Drosophila melanogaster: one gene and its partners. The protein of the gene in region 1 interacts with the protein of each later gene in a pairwise test. Each region holds a gene or a part of one and is shown on either strand. Other genes may lie near its edges.

Evidence for each region.
Region 2: the proteins of pzg (region 1) and Trl interact in a two-hybrid assay, tested with the Drosophila melanogaster proteins (2 studies listed by BioGRID).
Region 3: the proteins of pzg (region 1) and Camta interact in a two-hybrid assay, tested with the Drosophila melanogaster proteins (one study listed by BioGRID).
Region 4: the proteins of pzg (region 1) and prod interact in a two-hybrid assay, tested with the Drosophila melanogaster proteins (one study listed by BioGRID).

What each region holds. Positions count from the first base shown.
Region 1 is NT_037436.4:21,284,296-21,290,848, reverse strand, and holds pzg (putzig), read right to left. Parts: upstream 4,751-6,553; 5' UTR 4,413-4,750; coding exon 3,782-4,412; intron 3,722-3,781; coding exon 1,362-3,721; 3' UTR 1,303-1,361; intron 1,244-1,302; 3' UTR 539-1,243; downstream 1-538. Other genes in the region: CG12974 (uncharacterized protein), read left to right, coding at 5,714-5,794, 6,379-6,553.
Region 2 is NT_037436.4:14,754,920-14,759,520, reverse strand, and holds the start of Trl (Trithorax-like), read left to right. Parts: upstream 1-1,558; 5' UTR 1,559-1,679; exon of another isoform or gene 1,680-2,037; intron 2,038-2,184; exon of another isoform or gene 2,185-2,190; 5' UTR 2,191-2,425; coding exon 2,426-2,617; intron 2,618-4,601. UniProt on the Drosophila melanogaster protein: Transcriptional activator that functions by regulating chromatin structure. Overcomes the repressive effects of chromatin by promoting the open chromatin conformation in promoter gene regions, thereby allowing access to other transcription factors.
Region 3 is NT_033778.4:9,444,205-9,449,073, reverse strand, and holds the start of Camta (Calmodulin-binding transcription activator), read right to left. Parts: upstream 3,029-4,869; 5' UTR 2,642-3,028; coding exon 2,563-2,641; intron 1-2,562. Other genes in the region: ced-6, read left to right, coding at 4,391-4,401.
Region 4 is NT_033778.4:18,968,880-18,972,870, forward strand, and holds prod (proliferation disrupter), read right to left. Parts: upstream 2,255-3,991; 5' UTR 2,130-2,254; coding exon 1,917-2,129; intron 1,850-1,916; coding exon 1,255-1,849; intron 1,189-1,254; coding exon 956-1,188; 3' UTR 525-955; downstream 1-524. Other genes in the region: CG15107 (uncharacterized protein), read right to left, coding at 2,712-2,896, 2,950-3,307, 3,366-3,554.

The DNA of each region.
Region 1 (6,553 bases):
ATTCATAACTATGAAATAATCATTAGTTCCTCCAAAACCGCATCCACGTGCCAATCCGGTTGCTGTTTTCAGAATCACAACATTCACTGATTTATGGATCGGAACGGGGCATTCATAAGGCCTTCATGACAGTCCAAATGCTTTAATGCCACCGCTGGCAGTTTAGTATCCAACTTAGTATTAAATCTTATTAATCAACTACCTGAACATTTAAATATAGTCGACCTCATCCGCCGCCAACAGGTGTTGGGCAATTAAGAACGAGTCGAAAGTTTCGCTGGTATGCATACTTCGAAAATATCATTCATAACCGACTAATCCATTTTAAAGGTCAACGAACTTACTGACTTGAGAAATGAATGGTTGGATCCATACTGACAATATGTAAACTTTGGGACTGCCTTCTGTGTCATCTGTATTCATTGGAACACAGTTGCCATCAGCGCGTTTAATTAACTTATCTGAATTGATTTACATGCATACCAAATTCCAAAGATCGCTCACAGAGTATAAAGGAACTTGAAACCGATGTTCGTTTCTTTACAATTATATATTTCAAGTTGCTTGACATATATACGTGCATGCATATATTTGGGCGTGTTTGCGGCCTGTGTTTGTTTGTTTTGGGTGTGAATCTGGAGTTTATGGAAGTGGAAAGCGGGATTGTTCACCTATCCTTACATTTTACGGGGATCACTAGGTGTTAGGAAGCATCACTATTTCTGAATTGATTTGTGCCGATTTCGGAACTTAATTTTCATCAAATGTTTGTGTTTAAATCGATTTATTTAGTGTAATTGTTGAGTTATCTTGTAAATACATACATTTATTATATTCCAAGTTTCTCACATAAACTCTATGTTTATACATTTTTTGTCGCTTTCATCTTGCAGTTTTGTCTATACTATTACTAAACCTAGATACGATATTTAAGAGGCAACCAAAGAGATCTGGCTTGAGATCCCTGGCAGCCTAGTGCGAAACGGACCGAATGAACAATTTGATTTATTGAATTAGTTTTTTTCCTTTGCTTGGGTAATAAGAAATCTTTCTTTTAGTTTACTGGAGTGTTTAATACATATACTAAATGTAAATATATATTGAAAAGGTTCGTGTGTGTATTTTTCTGTCTTCGTGTTCAGTTGTCTGTAAAGTTGGTTCGGTTGTGGGTGTCAGGGAGTGGGTTTCAAATTGGGGTGTGCAAAAGTCCTCCAGAGATCTTGAGCGTGCCCACAGCTAAAACCTAAAACAAACGAAAAAGTATGAATATCCCAGTTCACGCTGGTGATTCCTTTAACTTACCAGTCCTCTTCGCATGCCAGTATGGTATAGTGGTCATGACCACGCCCCTAGGGCCAATCCTAGTCGGTCTTTGTCTCCGTAAACTCCTCCAGGGCAAAAAAGCTGCCGCCGGAGGGGCCACCAGTGCTGCTGGCCGTGCTCGTGGCAACAACGGTGGTGGATGCCGTGCCACTAGATGCCTCCGACACTTGCACTTCCTCGCCGGCCGAGTCGGCAGCCGCCTCCTTGTCATCTGCACCTCCGGAAGCGCTGGCTGCCTGCTGTGCGGCCTCCAGGACCTGTTGCTGAACCTGGACGATGGGCTGGCCATCTTCCGTGTACGACACGGACACTGGGATGCGGGTACCATCCTCGCTAATGACATGAGCGCCTTCCTCACCATCCTGTCCCTGCTGGATAATTAACTGCCCCTCGGAGTTCAACAGGGAGGCATCGATAAGCTGCTGTTCATTGTTGTCACCATGGACAAGTACCATCTGGCCACTGCCATCGGTCATCATCTGGAGGGTTTCGCCCTCAAGTCCCTCGCCGGACTGCAGAACTCCTACACTTTGGAGCAGCTGCTGTATTTGCTCGGGATCTTGCACAATTATTTGGTTGCCTTCGGCGTCCGTCAGGATGTGGTTGTCCAGCTGGAGGAGATGGCCGTTCTCGTTAACAATGAACTTGATCTGGCCACCTTCCACCTGTGCCTGCATGGCTTCGTCAAGTTCCATGGCAACATGCTCGCCACCTGCAGCTTCACCCGCCTCGCCCTCGGCTCCAGTACTGGCAGTAACCTCGCCTTCGCCAGATTCACCGGCTTCAGCGGTCGTGGCATTGGCCTCCGACTCAGTTGTGGGCGTATCTGTAGCCTCACGCTTAGCAACTACGTCTCCTTCGTCAGATGGTTGTGGTTCCTCAGCAGCGGCGGCTTCCTTTGACTTGGCGCTTTCTCCAGCCTTGGCCTTGGCTTTCTCTTGACCTGCTTTGCTAGCCGTCTTGGTTTCCTCTGAGGCCTCAGCTTCAGCAGCTGCAGCCTCGTTGTCATCATCTAAACTGGGCATGGAAACCGGTGCGGCATTGGATTTGCTATCGGCAGAGGAGGCCTCGCCGCTTTCGCCCTTGGCATCGATGCTGCCCTGGGACTGTGATTCGTCTTCGGCTTGATCCAAATTTGGCATGTCAATGCTAACAGAGACAGGTGCTGTGGTATTGGGCGAATCCTTTTGCGATTGGTCTCCGTCCGGTTGCGGGATAGTAATGTTGAAGGTTATGCCTCCACTGCCCTCCTGCGAGGTAATAACCATCTCGCCGCCTTTGCTTCCCGGTTTGGGCGCCTCACCGCTCTCGTTCTTGTCGGAGTGGAGCTTTTCAAACAGGCTCTCAATGTCGGCCTCTGCGTTTTGCTCGCCGCTCTCGTCACCGGCCTTACCAGTTGCCTCTCCGGGCTCATCGCTTAGTAAAGCCGTAGCTGCCGAATTTAGGGCAGTGGCTCCGGCCGAAGTTGCCTTCTTGTCACGTCTGTGGGTCTCCATGTGGTGGTTGTAGTATGTCTCCTGGATGAAAGTCAGTGAGCAAATGCTGCACGAGAAGAAGCGTATGTTGTTCTCCGACTCGGTGGTTGCCACCACAGCAGCTGTCGAAGCAGGCAGGCTATCGCTCAGTGCCTCATCAATGGTCTCTTGAAGGAGCTTCTGGGTGTTCAGGTTCTGGCTAACTGACTGCTTGGGCGATACCGTCGATGCGGAAGGACTCTGATGCACTTCGAAGTGCTTAACAAGCATCTCCCGTTTCGGGAAGGTCATCGAACAAGTGCCGCACTTGAAGAAGTTGGTCTGATGCTGTTTGGCATGCACAGTAGCAGCTTCGCGCGTCTCAAAGCGCTGAGAGCACAGGCGGCACTTAAAAGGCTTAGGTTTACCAGCGGCATGCTTGCGCATATGCTCATCAAAAACGACCTTGTCCGTTGACTTGAACTGGCAATGATTGCATGTGTATAGCGATGTTCCAACCAGATTCTCGTTGGCAGCAGCTGCAGCGGCAGCTGCAGCAGCAGCCACGGGAGCAGCTGATGCCGGTATGGTGGTGGTGCTGGTCACCAGTACATTGGTAGCGTGATTCGTCTCCATGTGCTTGCGCAGGCTGTTCTCGTTCACGAAGTTAATGTGACACATGGCACACGTGTTATCCATGGCGGTATTGTGGTCGCGCACCATGTGCTGCTTCATGGCCCCAAAGTGCGGGAAGATTTTGCGGCAGGTCTTGCACTGGAAGGTCTGCTGCTTGCAGGTTTCATAATGCGTGTTGAACAGCCGCATATCCGAGGTTTTATAGTCACACGAGGTGCATTTATAAATCTTGGTGGCCTTGCGTTGGACTGTCTGGGTGCCTTGGACGCTGCTCTGGGTGGTTCCTGGGGCGATCTTGGACTGGCCAACTGTACGATTGCAGAATATGCATTAGGAAAGCTTTATAATTTCTGTATTTATGTACTTACCTGGGTTTCCCTGCAGGAGTTTACGTGGACGCAGCAAATCCGCACTAGGACTCTCCTCCAACGAGCGATTGGCGGATCCGCCGACCATTTTCTGCATCTTGAGCGGCGGACTGCCTTCCTGGCCCATATCCTCGTTAATGGCATACTTCTTGTTAAGCAAACTGATGAGGTTCGTCTTGACGCGCTCCACATCGTTTTCCAGGCGGTCGTAGTAGTTCACCAGGTTGGTACAGCGTGAGCACACGTAATCCTCGCCGCAAACAATCACGAGGAAACCCTCGCCCACGAGCTGGGCCAGTTTGTTGGGGAATTTGGTGGAAGTGTGCGTGGTGCACATATCGGTTAGCGAAGTCTGTGGCTCGCAGCGGTCATCGCAGATATAGCATCGCGTGGCTAATCCGCCGATACCCACGCCACCCGACTCTGCATCGTTGACCGCCTGCTGCTGTGCTACGCCGCCAACGGCTGAGGCTCCTCCGGCAGAGGCACCTCCTCCTCCGCCACCACCGGGTACCACCATACGCGTCGACTTGAGGATTCGCGGCTGGCTGGGACCGGTCACAGTGACCGCTCCGCTACTGAGCAGATTGTTAAACTTGCGGTAGGTGGCCGGATTCAGTTGGTTGTTCATTTCGTGGCGTTTTGGATTCAGGTGAGCACGCCGTAGTGATGGTGTTATTCGGTTTGTGCGGGCGCTACACGCGCAACTGCAAGCCGCTACCTTTCAATATTAATCGGCGATTACGACAAACTACACTTCTGCACTCCGGTTTGGCAGCTTGCTGGGATTTATGTATCGATCGGGTACGGATGAGCCACTCGAACGAAACAATCTATCTTTTTTGGACACCAGGAACAACAATCTCTTCCGTTTTTAATTTTCGGTTTCGTTCTGAGTTGTCGCGGCGTCACTTTGACTGTACTAAAGACTCGGTGCTGTATTTTTTAGGGTTAAAAATGCGTATGTGCTGTAGCAGTTCTCGACGGACGCGTATGGTCGTCTCGCTCTTTAGCATGCTCGCTGCCCTGGCACGGCGGGAAAACATGGGCTAGTCGTTTCACTCGCACGCCACGGAAATGGCGGCTGCCTGGGAGGTCAACCATGGTCAGACAGAGAAAATCTCACAGCGTTGCCGTTCATTACGATAACGTAATTATTTACTTGAAATAATAAAGCATTTATTTTTCTTATTGCGATTGCTGAGTGGTTAAATACAAATAAATACTTACTTGTTGTGCTTGTATTTGTAAAAGGTAAATAATTAGCACATTTTGTCTTGAAAAAAGGCTCAGCGTCATTCCTATCATGCAATGTCAAAATTAACAGTGCGTTTTGTAGACAGTAGAGGGCGCCTTTGCCCGCCCACTTTAAATTCACAAATATTCTCCTCGTAAATATTTGGCATACCCAACCTGTGAGGTAAGCATTAAATACTTGCATTTACGCAGTGATAAAGGCCAACATCACTAATGTGCTAATACATAGGACCGATAAGATTCCGAAATTCCAGTTTTACCTATTCGATTTAGGTATATCTTTTAGCCAAAGGAAAGTTGAAGGGAAGGGGGCTCTCTTATCAGTAGCGATAATATAACATACGACCTGATAAACGTTCCAGCCAAACCACAGAATTCAGTTAACGAACGAAACGAAAAGCGAGCGGATACCGCCTCGATCGAAGCGAAACATAAAAAATAAAAGCCCCTGGCCAGTTGGCTTTTTGTTATAAGAGCCATTATCGCAAGGTTTATCGGGAAATATAGTAAACGGGTGGCGAACTCAATTGTCCGGCTCGATCGTTCAGTTGGCCAACAGACGTCGCGTACTGCAAAAGCGCACTCAACCCGATCGATTTGAGTCCCGCATACGGGGCGTGAGAATATCTCCCAGTATCTGGAAACCACCCCTATATATCGAACAGTCACTGCAAAATGTATTCAGCACCAGCGGCAAAAATCAAGCACTTTGGCTCCCTTAAAACGGTAGCAGCTTGGGCCGGAATTCTCGGAGTGGTAAGTCGGCGCTGGCAATTCAATGTTACAGTCTAGGCCGCCAAGCGACCGCGACCCCATTCCCAGCTCATCGATAAGTGATATGGGGAGATGTTCGACCTGACATTGAGCGCACTTACTAAGATTGGATGGTCTCTCCCTATCGAATAGTCCAGTATTCCAACAGTCGGAGAGCTAATCATGATACGAGTATAATACTCATTGACTCATCCGGGACGGCTCCCAAACTGAAGAACTGAGCCGCACCACAGATATCAGATAATGCCGATTGACGTGTGTAAACAAGTGAATGAACAAAAGATCTAGATTGGGACACTAAAAAACGTAAACGTAAATAAGTACATACAAAATTGGATATTTCGCTGGGTATGAATAATATCACGATCTAGAAGCCATCCAACCTCTTTAATGACGGAACACGAAGAACAAACGATAAAACAATTTTATTTAATTAATTTTCAATATAAATATAAATTTAAAAAAACATGACAAACAAAAACCGATTAAAAATAGTGCTCATTTTTATTCAGTGTGGCTCTGACGTTTTGAGAACTCCTCTTATTTTATTGTTATTTTTATTTCAGGCCCAGTCCATCATCTGGATGGGCTTGACCATAACAGCGATATGTGCCTACAATTGTGTCCTGTATATTACAAATGACCTCACCTATGGCTCCATGGTCAAGACTGTATTCTTTGACGTGTACTTCAAGGGCAGTTGCAAGATGAATCCCAGTGATTACCAGAACTACGACCAAA
Region 2 (4,601 bases), 6.5 Mb from region 1:
CCAATGGAAAAAATAGTCCAGTAACGCTTATACAATTTGTTTACAAAAACCAGTTATACAATGTATTCCAAAATTTTACATAGTAATTCTATTCCTACCACTTATGTTTTGTATCCCACTGTGCTTGGTTTGCACTCATTCCTCCACCTCTGCCGAGTCACCCACCACCAACACCCCCCAGCGCGCACGCTCTCCCTCATTCTCACATCATGCTCCGTTGGTTGGTATTGCCAGCTACGAAACATGAAACATGCTCACTGCTTTAACGCCGATTGGAACTTTAAAGGGGCATTTCGAACGGCATTTCTCATGGCCCCTTCCCTGCCCAGCAGCATCATAACAGAGAAAATTGTAATCTTAAAAATTTGGACACTCGCTCACTTTATATTACTTTCTTCTCTGAGCGTTGGCTAGAAGTGCCACTCTCCTTCTCCTTCAATTCCAAATTCGACTAACTTCCCTATCGCGGGGTCTCTCCGCTCTTAAGCTGGACTTGATCTGCATACGAGAATGAGACTGGCTATATGTTTTTACCCCGTAGGGTCTCGGTCTCTGAGATGTGTCAAAAGTAACAGGTGATTGGATTGGATTCGAAAGGAGAGAGGAGAGTTAGAGACAGGGGAAAGAGAATGTAGAGCGTAAGAGCGAACCGGCTTTTCTACCATTTGTTATTATTACTTTCACAGGATCTGTTAATATTTCGGAACCGAAGAGAAACCCAGTCCCGATACATGTCTATTTTAATCTAAACCTATCAGATTCTTTTGATTCCTGTGTAACCCTCAGTAGCATTACACTTGTTCCCAGAAAAATGGAATCTGGTATCTTAAAAAGAAAACTGAAAGTAATTTATTCTGAACCCAATACCCTTCTAGATTTTGGTGATCAAACATAATAAATTGTTAGATTAGGGACTCGTTCTACGAAAATCTGCTTATCGATTTAATCATAGCTAATGTTGGAATTTATTTTTAATACAATTGCTCGATACCTTAGCTAGAATAATTCAAAAACGTTCTGAATTGTTTATCCTTCATTTTTAAACTGTAAAATTTGAGCTTATTCAGAGTGGAGTAGTATAAGAAAATGTTGAATATTTTGATACCGGATCCGATAGTTATAGAACCGGAACCTACGGATCCCGTTGACCTTTTTCTTATCGCACTCTGATATTCCAACCGGTCGGACACATGTGTTTTTCATCCGTGAAGTCGGCCCAGAATATTTCCATCATTCAATATTTACCACCTTTTATAGTTTTGTTTACTATCTTGCCGACTTTTTTGTCTTGCCGTCTTGCTCTCCTCTCCATCCTAAAAATACTCTTCCTGCGCTCCATCTGGCAATGCCGCTCGACAACTGTACTTCAAAGAGCGTTGCCAGGCAGGTCACTTCTCTCATAGATACACAGATACAGGCGCGCACGCACACCAGCACGCAAAATAACCACCACCAGCAGTACAGAAATTACACATTTTCTCCCCGAGTAGAGAACTGAAAAACTGGCCGCGCTGGCAGCGCCGGAGCAGCGAAATTCGATCGAAACCATTTACTCAGTCTCAGTTCGAGTTATCCAACGTTGGCGAGCGGACAAACAAGCAGGAGAAAAAAGCGTACGGGCAAGAGAAAGAGAAGGCACAAAATCACCCACAGCCACTGAAATTTTCTTTTGCGCTCCGGTGAGAAGATAATTTCACAAACCAAAACCGAACCAACAAACAAAAAAAGTGCGCTCCGTGAGCGGGAAAACAATAACAAAATCAAGAGACATGCGATTATAAAACGAACAAAATAACTGAGTGACAAAAAAAAATTAAATGCGTGTCTCATGGCTTGACTGTACTGTGTATTAAAAAATGTGATTGTGTCGGCTGTCCGTCTGTCTGAGTTTGTGCGCGTGTGTGTGCTGTTGGCGTTTTTAAATGTGGCGCGCTATTTTTGTGTGATTTTTGTGGGCAGCAACGAATTTTGAAACATCAATTGTATACTAGTTGTCAGTCCCCTTGTGAAAAAGTCTTCTCCAACAACAAAATTCCTGTGAGCAGCCTACACACATGCGTTGTCTCGCTCTCGCGCGCTCTGGCCCCCAAAGAGTGCGAGAGCGGGAGAGTGAGACCGAGAAAGAGAGAGAGAGAGAGAGAGCTAATAACTAACGTCTGTACTCTTTTTCTTTTCCATTTTTCATTTCAGTTTCGAGAAAGCAGCGCGCCAAGCAGCAAGAAGAGGAAGAGCAAAGGGAGTTGGAAAAGCAGTGGCGTCGTGGAGGAGGAGTAGAAAGGGGATTTTTGCGAAAAATCCCAACTTGAAGAGAATTTTCCCCGTAACCGTTAAACATTAAATCGTCGTGTTGGAGACAAATAGCAGCGAATACGCTAGCAACGCTGGGGAGGAACAACAATTGTTGGATTTGGACGCGACCGCTTTGATGTCGCTGCCAATGAATTCGCTGTATTCGCTCACCTGGGGCGATTACGGCACCAGCCTCGTATCGGCAATCCAATTGTTGCGCTGCCATGGCGACCTCGTCGATTGCACGTTGGCCGCCGGCGGGCGGAGTTTTCCCGCCCACAAGATAGTCCTGTGCGCCGCCTCCCCCTTTCTGCTGGACTTGCTAAAGGTAAGTGCTCGGTTCGGAAACACTGCCTAAAACACCTTTCAATAAGAGAGCTTGTACATAACCTCAAACGTTTCGTACAGTTTGTAAACAGAGAAATCCAATCGCAGAAATAGGTTAATGTTTGGAGCGCAGAGAAACTGACACTCGCACGCAAATGCATACATATGTATAAATAACGCAGATTTACGCTCCGCTCCAAAAGTTGTCTAGAGATTTTTGTACAAGTTTTCCACTGTCAATTGAGTTGAATGAGTGGCTCCGCCCCCCGCATTCCCGCCGTCTATCTTGCTTATCAGCTTTTTCTTGTTGCAAAGTTCACCGGAGAACGAGAGAGTGAGACGTAGAGACAGAGCGCAGACAGAGAGGGAGAGAGCGAGAGAACCAGTTGGTTCGGTCGACAGAAAAGTGGTTTTGGGCCCGGTGGTGTAACAGAGAGGGGAGAGCCGAAAGCTGGTGCGCCAACTTTTAAATCGCATGTGTTAGAGCGAGCGCAAACGAGAGCGCCAAAAGCAGCGCGGCAACTGTTGTAGTTGTTGGATGGTTGGAGCTTTCGTCTTGCCTTTTGGTTCTTGCTGTTGTTGGGTGCACACGAGCGCGACCTCTTTCTTCACAGACAGAACTGTACAGTTGGCTCTGGCTAGGGGGAACTTGAAATATTGGGGGGAATATGGATACATATACAAAGATAATTAAAATTAAATTTGTATTGATTGGTTTGATTTCCTTAACCCATTTCCTAAGCTAAGTCTTTTGTATTTTGTATGTCACCATTTTAGATTGCTAGATTGATTGTCTAACAGCAAACTTCGCTCAATTAAAAGTTCCTGGACTTTAATAGACTTATCTACTTCAAATCTTTATTTAAACTTATAACATAGTGACCAAGTCCAGATTGTACCAAAGATAAGCAAGCCTGTCTGGTGCGCTTCCCTCGTATCGAATCCAACCCGTATTTCTATAAACTAAAGCATTTCATATTAGGAAGGCGCACTTTTAAATGGAGCTTGCAAGTTTTTTCATGAGCTGTATTGCGATACTGTACTTTTTAACAACTCATTTGCACTTTAACTTTGACGCTTTTCCGCCACTCTGTCGATTGTTCAAAGTGTGCGCTTAAGTATGAAAGTTGGACCGTCTTCAATGCGTGGCCCTATCGTAATGGAAATACTGACCAAAACAGAGCGCGGCCAGCGAAATGAAAACACCTGATGCGACGCCGACAGCGGCTACTCTGCGCTTCGCTCCCCCTTATTCTCAGCGCTCCTCATCTCTCCTCTCCTTTTCTGGGCCGTGAAAAAGTAAACAGAGCGAAATTTTTGAAAACGCCGCTCAGAGCCGTCGTGGGGAAATGTCAAAGAAAAAAAAAAAAAAACAAAAAGAACGGGACCAATGCGGCTGTGAACTCTGCAAGAGTCCGAAAAGTACAAGATGTACTGATCTCGTTACACTCACACACGCACGCAAAAACACATGGCGGTCGCTCTTTGTTGCTCTTGCTCCCTCTCCCTTGCTCCTACGGCAAATGGAATGCAACTCTGAAAAATCGATGAGCGAGACTTTGGTTGGAGGCAGAGTTCAAAGAGCGCAAATGGGAGTGCGGTGAGATGTGTCATTTCAAGAGATTGGCATTGGATGAAGGGAGGGTGTTGGTTGGTGAGTCCGTAAATGGAGAGGGGTTGTTTTCTGAGCAATGCTATATAATTAAATGTTTGGAGCGGGAGCGGGAGCGGGAGAGGACACAGAAGAAGAACAGCTAAGCGCTCTTTCTTTAAGCGCTGCTCTGTTTTCTTTTTCAGCATCTGAAATCTCAAAATCCTGCTGCAGAATGTGCAGAGCGCGCAAAAGTAAAAGCCGGTTGTCTTTTGTCTGTGTCACTGTGTGCGTGAGCGGAGGAGAGTGTGAGCGACGCGTCGCACCGCGAGTTTCCATTATTTCCATCTCCGTCCGACTGTTTTTGTTATTGTTTTTATTTGGATTGGCGGAC
Region 3 (4,869 bases), on another chromosome or scaffold:
AACAAAAGTAAATCAGTCTTAAATAATCAATTCAATGTACATACAATATATAAAAGGTATTTATCCAGGTAAAACAACAAAATTAAAAATGTACATCCTAGAACGTCTGGATGTATAAAAAGAGTAGATCTTATTTATTTATTTGTAAGTTATCTAAACAGCGTGTTGGTTTCATTTTTGGTGTAAGTGCTCCTGTAACATTTTGTTCTCGATTTCTCGAATTGAGCAATTTCGAGTGGCCCCAAAAAACGGACAGCCCCATTGTATGCAAATTCAATGGAAACTTCATAAGCGGCGCAAGATTTATGACTCCATCTTGATCGAATTTGGAAAGCCTTGCATTAGAAGCGCATGTGACAGGGGAGGCAGGAGGCGTGGCTGCCATTGTTGCACTTTCCCAGGGTCCGTAAAAATGAACTGAAAGGGACGTCGAGCATTACGTATACGCGACGTATGCCTAGAGCGGTCAGTGGCTCGGACACTCTATTTTGTTGGCCAACAAATGGGGAGGATGGGCGGTAGCCAAACGCTAAATCAAGCGAAAGACGACATGTTTATGGCAGGGACGAAGGACTACTTAGCCGACGAGCCCCAGCACAAAACGCAATAAAAGTGCAACAAACAAACAGCGAGTTTTCAGCCAAGAAAGGAGGAGAAAGTAATGGGGTAGGTTCACGGGTGTAGGCAAATGGGGGTCTCTGCCCTGGCATGCGTTGCCAAATATAGACTCTCAAGGCTGAAGGCGACACGGAACGTAAAGTGCGCGCCGGAAACATTTCGAAATGTAGCCTAAACACTTGTCCGGCTCCCCTGCTTTTCCCGCCTCCCCCCGCCGCCGGCATCCAGCACCCTTTCCTGGGTATTTCCACACCCCCAAAAACCATGTGTGTTTGTTTTCGCAAAAACGTGCGGGTCATAATTAGCCGTTGACGCCGCCTTCAGTCGGCTGTGCTTTGGGGAAAAGCGGAAAAGCAGAAAAGCGGGCAGGGGAAAGCGCCACATGCGACCATCTGACCCCAAGTGGACAAGTGTCTGCGCCCCCTTCGCCTTCCTTGGAGTGTCTGTGCAAAAAGGTCGCCTGCCGCCAGGCAAAATAAACCGCCTGAATTGGACCAGGATCGGAATAGAATAGGTGGGGCCACTGGCTGTTGGCTGGCCATCCATTCGAGCGCACATACTTCATTGTAATGTATGGCAGACCAGCCACAACAGCACGCAGATCCCAGGATTCGGGGCACTCGGGGATCAGGCAGCCGCGTAACACATAAAACACTCTTGGCTGAAGCTTCGCATATTTTTGCGTTCGTCGCGGCTTTTGATGTGCAACGATGTGGACAGTGGGCACGACAATTGTTAGTTTAAGTAAAAAAAAAAATATACAACATATATATAATAATGAAAACCAGAAGATAAAAACGGAATTTTGAATGGAAAATGATTTTGTTGTAATTATTTTAAAATTAATTTGCTTTTAATTCGTATTTATTTTTAAGGGTTTTTCTCATGTATAAATGCTGTTAAAACCAAATATTCCTATAATAGGAAATATCAATTTAATTGAAATATTTTTTGTTTTTAATTCTTTTCTTTAAATTTTGTTTGATTACAGGATTTTGAAAAAAAAAAATCGTGCTATATAATCCCACTGTTGTACTCCACGTGCTTTACTCCACTTGCTTAGCTGGGAAACTGGGGGGGAAACAAAAGTTTCTGGGTAGCTGGACAAATTGCAAGTCTATTGAATTTTTATTAGAAGCATAAATCAAAAAGCGTTAGATTTGCCAGCTGGGGAAAGAGTTCGATAAATATGTCAATAGATTCTGCACATAGATAGCCGACAAAGGGTTAAGAAAGAGGACAAATCAAAGATGAACAAACCACAAGAACAAGAACTTTGATAGGCTTTATCAGTCTGCAACTGATTATTACTCTGGGTCTAGACATAAATATTTATTATTTAAATAAAGTGGTGAACGTCTTGGATTTTTTTGTGACCACTTTCCAATCTTTTAAACAATCATTGTTTATAAACATTTAGGTCACTAGTTTTGTGTTTGGAAAAGAAATGTTTCCATTTATCTTATCTATACTCATGAATTTATGACCAACTAAGAGTGTGTTATTAACACTTCTAAAATTCGAAGCCCGCCAATCGGTTTTTACGAGCAGAGTTGCCATATTTATGTTTAAAGAATCCAGATAACAGCTGATTGCGTCCATAGGAATTTCCAATTAGACTCTCCCATCTTTAAACCAGCTTTGCAATACCGTAGATGGGCGTAATACTAAAGAGATTTCAGTATTGACAGGAAAGGCGTAATATGGCACAGCGGCCACCAATGGGTTAATGGCCCAAAGAAACCCCCAACAACGTGAAAACAAAACGCAACGCAAAGCGAAACACAACAAAACAAAAACTAATTGGAAAACCAATATCGAGGAGAGCACGACTATCAGGTCGAAAATCGGGAGATACGTGGGCTACAGCACAGATATAACTTACATATATGCATGTAGAAGAGGGATGGGTGATAGGGGTAGGGGGAGTTGGGGCTAACTTACTTTGGAGTTTCAGTGTGGAAGTTGAATTAGAAGTAGAAGAGGACGAAGCGCTGGTGGAAATATCGGGCACATTTTCCATGTGCACAGCTTTAACAACCAATTTTAGAATGCACTACTCTCTTAGCGGTTGGCACATTTATTTCGCTTTATTGAGAATGCATTTTCATTTTTGCACACCAGCTCGCACGCACACACACACAGGTGACATGGGCGCTCGCACACGCACACAGCGACACCGAAATCGCAGAACTCTGGGATATCGAAAAAAGGTAAACAAAACTTTTTCACTGCCTCCCTGTGCGCAAGCCGTGGAGTCCCTTGGCGGATTTCGATGTGCTTCAGCTGGACGATGCATAAAATGCAACAAAAATCAATAATATCACCGTTTCACACACGAAATTATTAAAAAAAAACGATAGCGAAAATATTTTGAGCTACTCCAAAACTGTGTGCATGTCAAACTGTCAAACATATGACGGCAAAGTTGCCAGATGTTGCAAAGGGCGAGCTCCCACAAAACTTAACGACAATGATTTCGAATTTTTTAAAATTGATAACTTATTATACAAGAAAGCAAGAATACTTTACAAGCCAATAACCTTGTAATCTTAACCTTACAAGTCTATGTTTGATATAAATTAGTTTAAACTATATCTAACCATCTGGCAGCACCCCAAGTGTTCCACTTATCGGCTTATCGGTCAAGATGACAACTCCAACATTCAATTATCGGAAATCGGGCACTATATTTAAAATATCGTATTGAATTTCAAATCCGGGTTTTGTTAGTCATTTTTTATACGTTTTATAATTATTTTCTTTCTGTTGAATTTTAAACTCCGATGTATCCCGCCGTGTCCGCTGTTTACCGCCGACGTCCAGCTGACGGTTCCACCCTTCTTTAACTTACATATGTATATGTACATTTCAACGAATCTAGTATACCCTTTCAGTCTACGAAAATTTTAATCTTAGTTCAATCAAATGATGTATATTAGTATATAGGTACATAGTCGATGGCCTCGGTTATATTATCTTAAATAAATAAATAATGAAGGATTGATGAATTTATAATGCATATTTGTCTTAAAAACGCTGAGATTGGTTTGCTTGGACGTGAGCAGGAAGTTCTATTCCTGCGACTTTTGTTAGAACCCAAGGAAAATATTACATACCATTCTAGTTCTTAGCTTAGTTCAATCATAAAGTTATATGTCAAAATCCTTTAAGAGGAGCATGCAAATGGGAAGTAAAATGGGCGTAAAATGTAAATGACATTTTGTGTAATTCGCATATGTACATTTGTATATTGTAAGCTATCAAAATATATGTATGTTTGTATGTATGTACAGCCCTTGAGACCGCCCATCATTGATAGGCAACGACTTTCGCCGAACTTTCCTTGGATTTTTCCAGCAGCCGACCCCGCGGTTTTCCGACCCCGCCTCGCTTCCCTCCGCTTCCCGCGACCAGCGGAAGTCTCGGGGCTCTGGCTCTATCAAAATCAACGGGCGGGGCGACTGAAGCGAACACAGAATAATTGCCATAGCTGTGTGCCAGTGCCAGTCAGTGCCAGCAGTTTGAAATCGACGACAACATCAGCAGCAACAAGCATTGCAACAACAGCGACGGCGCGGTGATAAGTCGGCTGCTGGCTGTATATTGCCGCTGGCTTGTTATTTTATTGTCGCTTTTGTTGCACATTGAAAATAATACACAAAATAATTGAATTACTCGAAATGTGTGCATGTCCGTGTGCGTGCCACTTGTGTATGTATGTGTGTGTGTCGTGCCTTTATGGGGGCGTTCAGGGCCCCGCTGATAAGCGATGATCAAGAGGTAAACGAGATAAGCGCTGCTCATTTGGAAGCACAGGCAACACGCGCTAAATGAACCCGCCAACTTGATAATCCGCGATCCCAGAAAACAAAATATTTGTCTTCTGAATTATCTTGTAATGATAATTTGACAGTTATTGTATATTAAGAAGGTCAATGTTTACTTATGGGAAGCATAATAAAGCTGAAATTAGAATTTTATGTTTATATCTATAGTTAGGATAATATGATATTCTCTCAATATTGCTACATTACATTGCTGGCTATAATTTAGGCATTGGAATTAATCCGAATCGCGTTGCTTGTTTGATTTGCAGCTTTGAGTTTCTTATTTACATATGTATATGCATTTTGTGGCACTTTGACAGTACTCCCCACTTTTGATTTCCTACAGTGTTCCCCGTGCTCGTCGACATGTGATAAGGAGCGTGAGGTGGAAACGTGACTCTCGGCGGGGCGGGCATCGGCA
Region 4 (3,991 bases), on another chromosome or scaffold:
ACAGATTAAGCATACGACGTGTTGTGCAGTTATCAACGCGATGCCAACGATTCCTAACGGAACACCGTGCGTCGTCCCATGGCGGAGGTCTGTTCCCTCAAACGCTCCACCTTGGTCTTCGGTAATTTATGATTCGCAGCGCACGGCCCGCAAATGATCTATTGCCCATTGCAGTTATCCAAGCGGAGTAGGTGGAGCAGGGAGCAGCCGAGGACTTTGGATCGGCACTTGTTGCATCAGCATCGGGCGACCATAACAGCCACAAGTGATTTCTTTCGCATCGATGCCTCCAGGCGCTGCTGACAGTTACAAAGTGCGCCCACTAGTTGGCGGTCAGGTTAAAATGACCCAAACTAAAAGCCAAAGCGAAGCCGAGCCACAATGCATATACGCGTTGTCGACGCCATCTCCCTAGCTTTGATTAATGGACTTTTCGTGTTGGCTTCGATTCTGGCCACGGCGTCATAAATAAACTCTAAAAATGCAACAACAGGCAAAAGGTGGAGCACGTCTGTGCGGCGCATATTTATCATTGGTAAACTTTATTCTTAACATTTACATACAACGCGTTAAAATTACTTGTCCAATTGTTTTTCACTTTAGATATTACAATTTTATGCCTATTTCATATATATGGATATCGTAGATGAAGTGCTTGAAAAGTTGAAAATAACTGTTTACACAATAGAATTCTATGTCAATTTTAAACTAGTCAATTTAAATCTGGCTACTATAAGTTACAGTTTTGTGTGTGTTCCGGCGGAGCGCAGGACTTGGAGAGCTAGAAAACGTTCGAGTGCCAAAGAGCACATTCGTAAAAGACCTATACAATTCGAGCTGACTTGACTCGTTCCATTGCTTTTGCTAATGCTGATCCTTTCGCCGTGGCTTCTGCTGGTGCTGGAGTTTTTGCCGACTGCTTAGACCCACTGATCTCGCCCTGCCGCTTGGGACACTATAAGGACGGCGGATCGTACTGGAAGCCCGGGTTGTTGAACTTGAAGCGCGCAATCTCAAATTGCAGTGTCTCGAATTTGATGTCGGCCAGTCGCTTCAGCTGGTGCGCGATCTGCTGGGCATCGCTGCTGCTCAGCGCGCTTGTCAGCGAACTGGGTTCCCGCTCCAGCTTTGTACTGTGCAGCGGCGGCACGGCCTGCATGTTTGAAATGCAACGCGGCGCATTTTTAACTGAAAGATATGGAAAAACGTGATGTTAACTGCTTAAACTTAAGCAAAGTAAAACGGCATAGTTACCTTCGTAGATAATTTGCTCCCTGGGCTGTGTGCGCATCCGCTTGACGGGCAGCTCGCCGTTGATCAGCTTATTGCCGGAGGAGGCTGTGCCCGGATTGATGACGGGGGCAGCAGGCCTGCGGGATGTGACGTACTCGACGGCGTGCGGCTGCACCGTTTGGGGATCCTCCTCGACATGCTCGAAGGATGTGTTGTCCACGACGATGGTGCGATAGGTGCCGCCACCCGTATTGACCGCCGTTGTGGACGCGGTGATGCCGGTCTCCGCCAGATTCTCCTCCATCATGTCCTCGTGATCGACATGCTCCTCCACCATCTCCTCCTCGTCCACCTCATCGTTGATTGCCTCTTCAACGGCTGCCTGAAGTTCCTTTTGAAATGCCACCGAAGTACGCTGGCCCAGTTCCTCCATCTCGTCGTCGTGCTCATCCTTTTCGGACTTCAGATTGAGCATCGTTTCGCCGCCGGTGGTGGGCACCTTGCCAAAGAGATCGAGAGCGCGCGTCTCCACGGAGGTCATCGAGATGTCCTTTTCCGTGGACAGAAGGCTGCGTCTGTACTTGCAGCGAGTGGTGTTCTTCCAATCGTTTAGGCGCTGTATGTGGAGCAGGAAATTCGCGATTAGAGGTAACATTATTTGGGTGATGTAGTGGTACTCGTACCTTGCGCCACTCCTCCGGCGTCAGTGTGGGTCCGGAGCTGCACTTGTTTAGCCGGTCGGAGAGCTCCTTCCACTTTTTGGTCAAGTAGTTCAGGTCATAGTCGCGCGGCACTCGTCCGGTGGCGAAAATGGGGTCGCTCTCCATCATGTCGATGTACATTTGGTACTGCTCCGATGAGGTGCGTTTCTTGCGGCGGTCCATCTTGCCGTTCATCCGGGTATCCTTGCTCTGTGCCTGCGTGCTCGATGCCGTGTTTAAATAGCTGGCAAAAGCCCTAAAATGCAAATCGACGCCACCAAGCGATGCGAGATGTTCACAAACAATTTACGCATTTAGCGTTTGGGATTTTCTAGTTGCATTTTGTTGCTGTTGGCGCAGGGTTGCATTCGGCACGCCAGTGGTGCGCATCTGGCGGGAAGCCAAAAAAGCAATTAGATGCCATGCGATAGTTATGGCTAGATGTGCAATAAATAATTCAATTTTGTTGCAATAAAAACATGCGGATTCAGAAATGATTTGTCACAATATTTATTAGCGGTTTCATATAAATCAATAATACATTTCAAAATATATGTGCAAAAAGTATTTCGTCGAACGATATGCATAACAACAGTCTTAAAAACGACTAATTGGTATATGGTACACACTACTCAAGAATTTGTTTTCAACGAATGCCTACTGTACTACTTATTGAGCGTTCCGCGGCTTTTAATTCGAGGCGAAATCAGCAGGTCCCTCTGAGCTCACATATTATATTACATTATACATTATATCAATGTGCATGGCTAGCATGGGCTATAATTCCGGAACGTACTCGAATCCGGGATTATTGTACTTGAAGCGGGCTATCTTAAAGTGCAGCGATGCCTCGTGTATGTCCGAAATGCGTTTCAGCTGCTCCTGGATTTTCTCTCCATAGAAGGCAGACGGTTCTTTCGCGGCAGATTGATCAGATGTGACATCCGCGACTGAAATCAAGGCTATGTCCCTTTATAGGATATTTAGTATTTACATTAGATTTGCGTCTACCCACCTTCGTAGATAATCTCACTGGAACCATCGAGCCTTAGCTTTTTCGCGGCACTGTGACCATTGATGATCGTTGGGTTGGCTTGCTCGTGAGGCTCTGCTATGAACTGCTGGTACTGCACCTCCTCCTCCTCCTCCTCATCCACCAACTCCTCCAGGTTCTCATTCTCTTCTTCATCCAGTTCCTCTTGCTCCTCCATCAGTTCGTGCAGGCGCATCGAAATTCCCTCGCGAAAATTCGGTTCTAAGGAGAAGATCTGCAGGGCTCTGTTCTCCAGAGGAGTCATTGCATTGCTCTTGTCATCCGAGTTGATGCTGCGTCGGTATTTGGAGCGCGTGCTGTTCTTCCAGTCGTTGAGGCGCTATAAGCATGACACACTGTGGGCTTGTACACTCGATACCCAACTGGTTACAACATACCTTTCGCCATTCCTCGGGCGACAAAGTGGGACCCGTGGAGCACTTGTTTAGCAGATCGCTGAGCTCCTTCCACTTCTTGCCGTCCTGGGTGCGACTCAGTTTGTTGGCCGACATCGGGGGATTCTCCTCCATGAAGTCTAGGTATACTTCGTATTGGTAGTACGACGTCCGCTTGTTGCGTCGATTCATTTTGGGGATCCAAATTATGACCAACAATTGAAAACAAACAAATTGAAACAGACGCCACAAAAAGGCAATAAAGCAACGAGCTATCGATAACACAAACAATTAAGGCTCCGAAATTAAATACCAAAACCGAAATACCAAACTATTTTAGAAAATATCAAAATAATTGTTTGGTTCTCCTAGGTTCGAAAAGAAGTTTCTTGGAATTTGTAATTTACCCGCGCCACAATCTCACAAGATTGTGTAATACATCTAAAAATATTTATTTTTCTCAAAATATCACATTTCAATTTATAAAATAAATTGGTCTAGTTCTTTAAGCATTTTTTGTGTATTTCGTAATTTTTGTAACAAAGCTAGTCCTGCTTTTTCAATCAAGTTCAATCAGAGGGTAGAACAGCTAGTAGAACCGCTGACTCAACATATTTTCCAAACCTTTT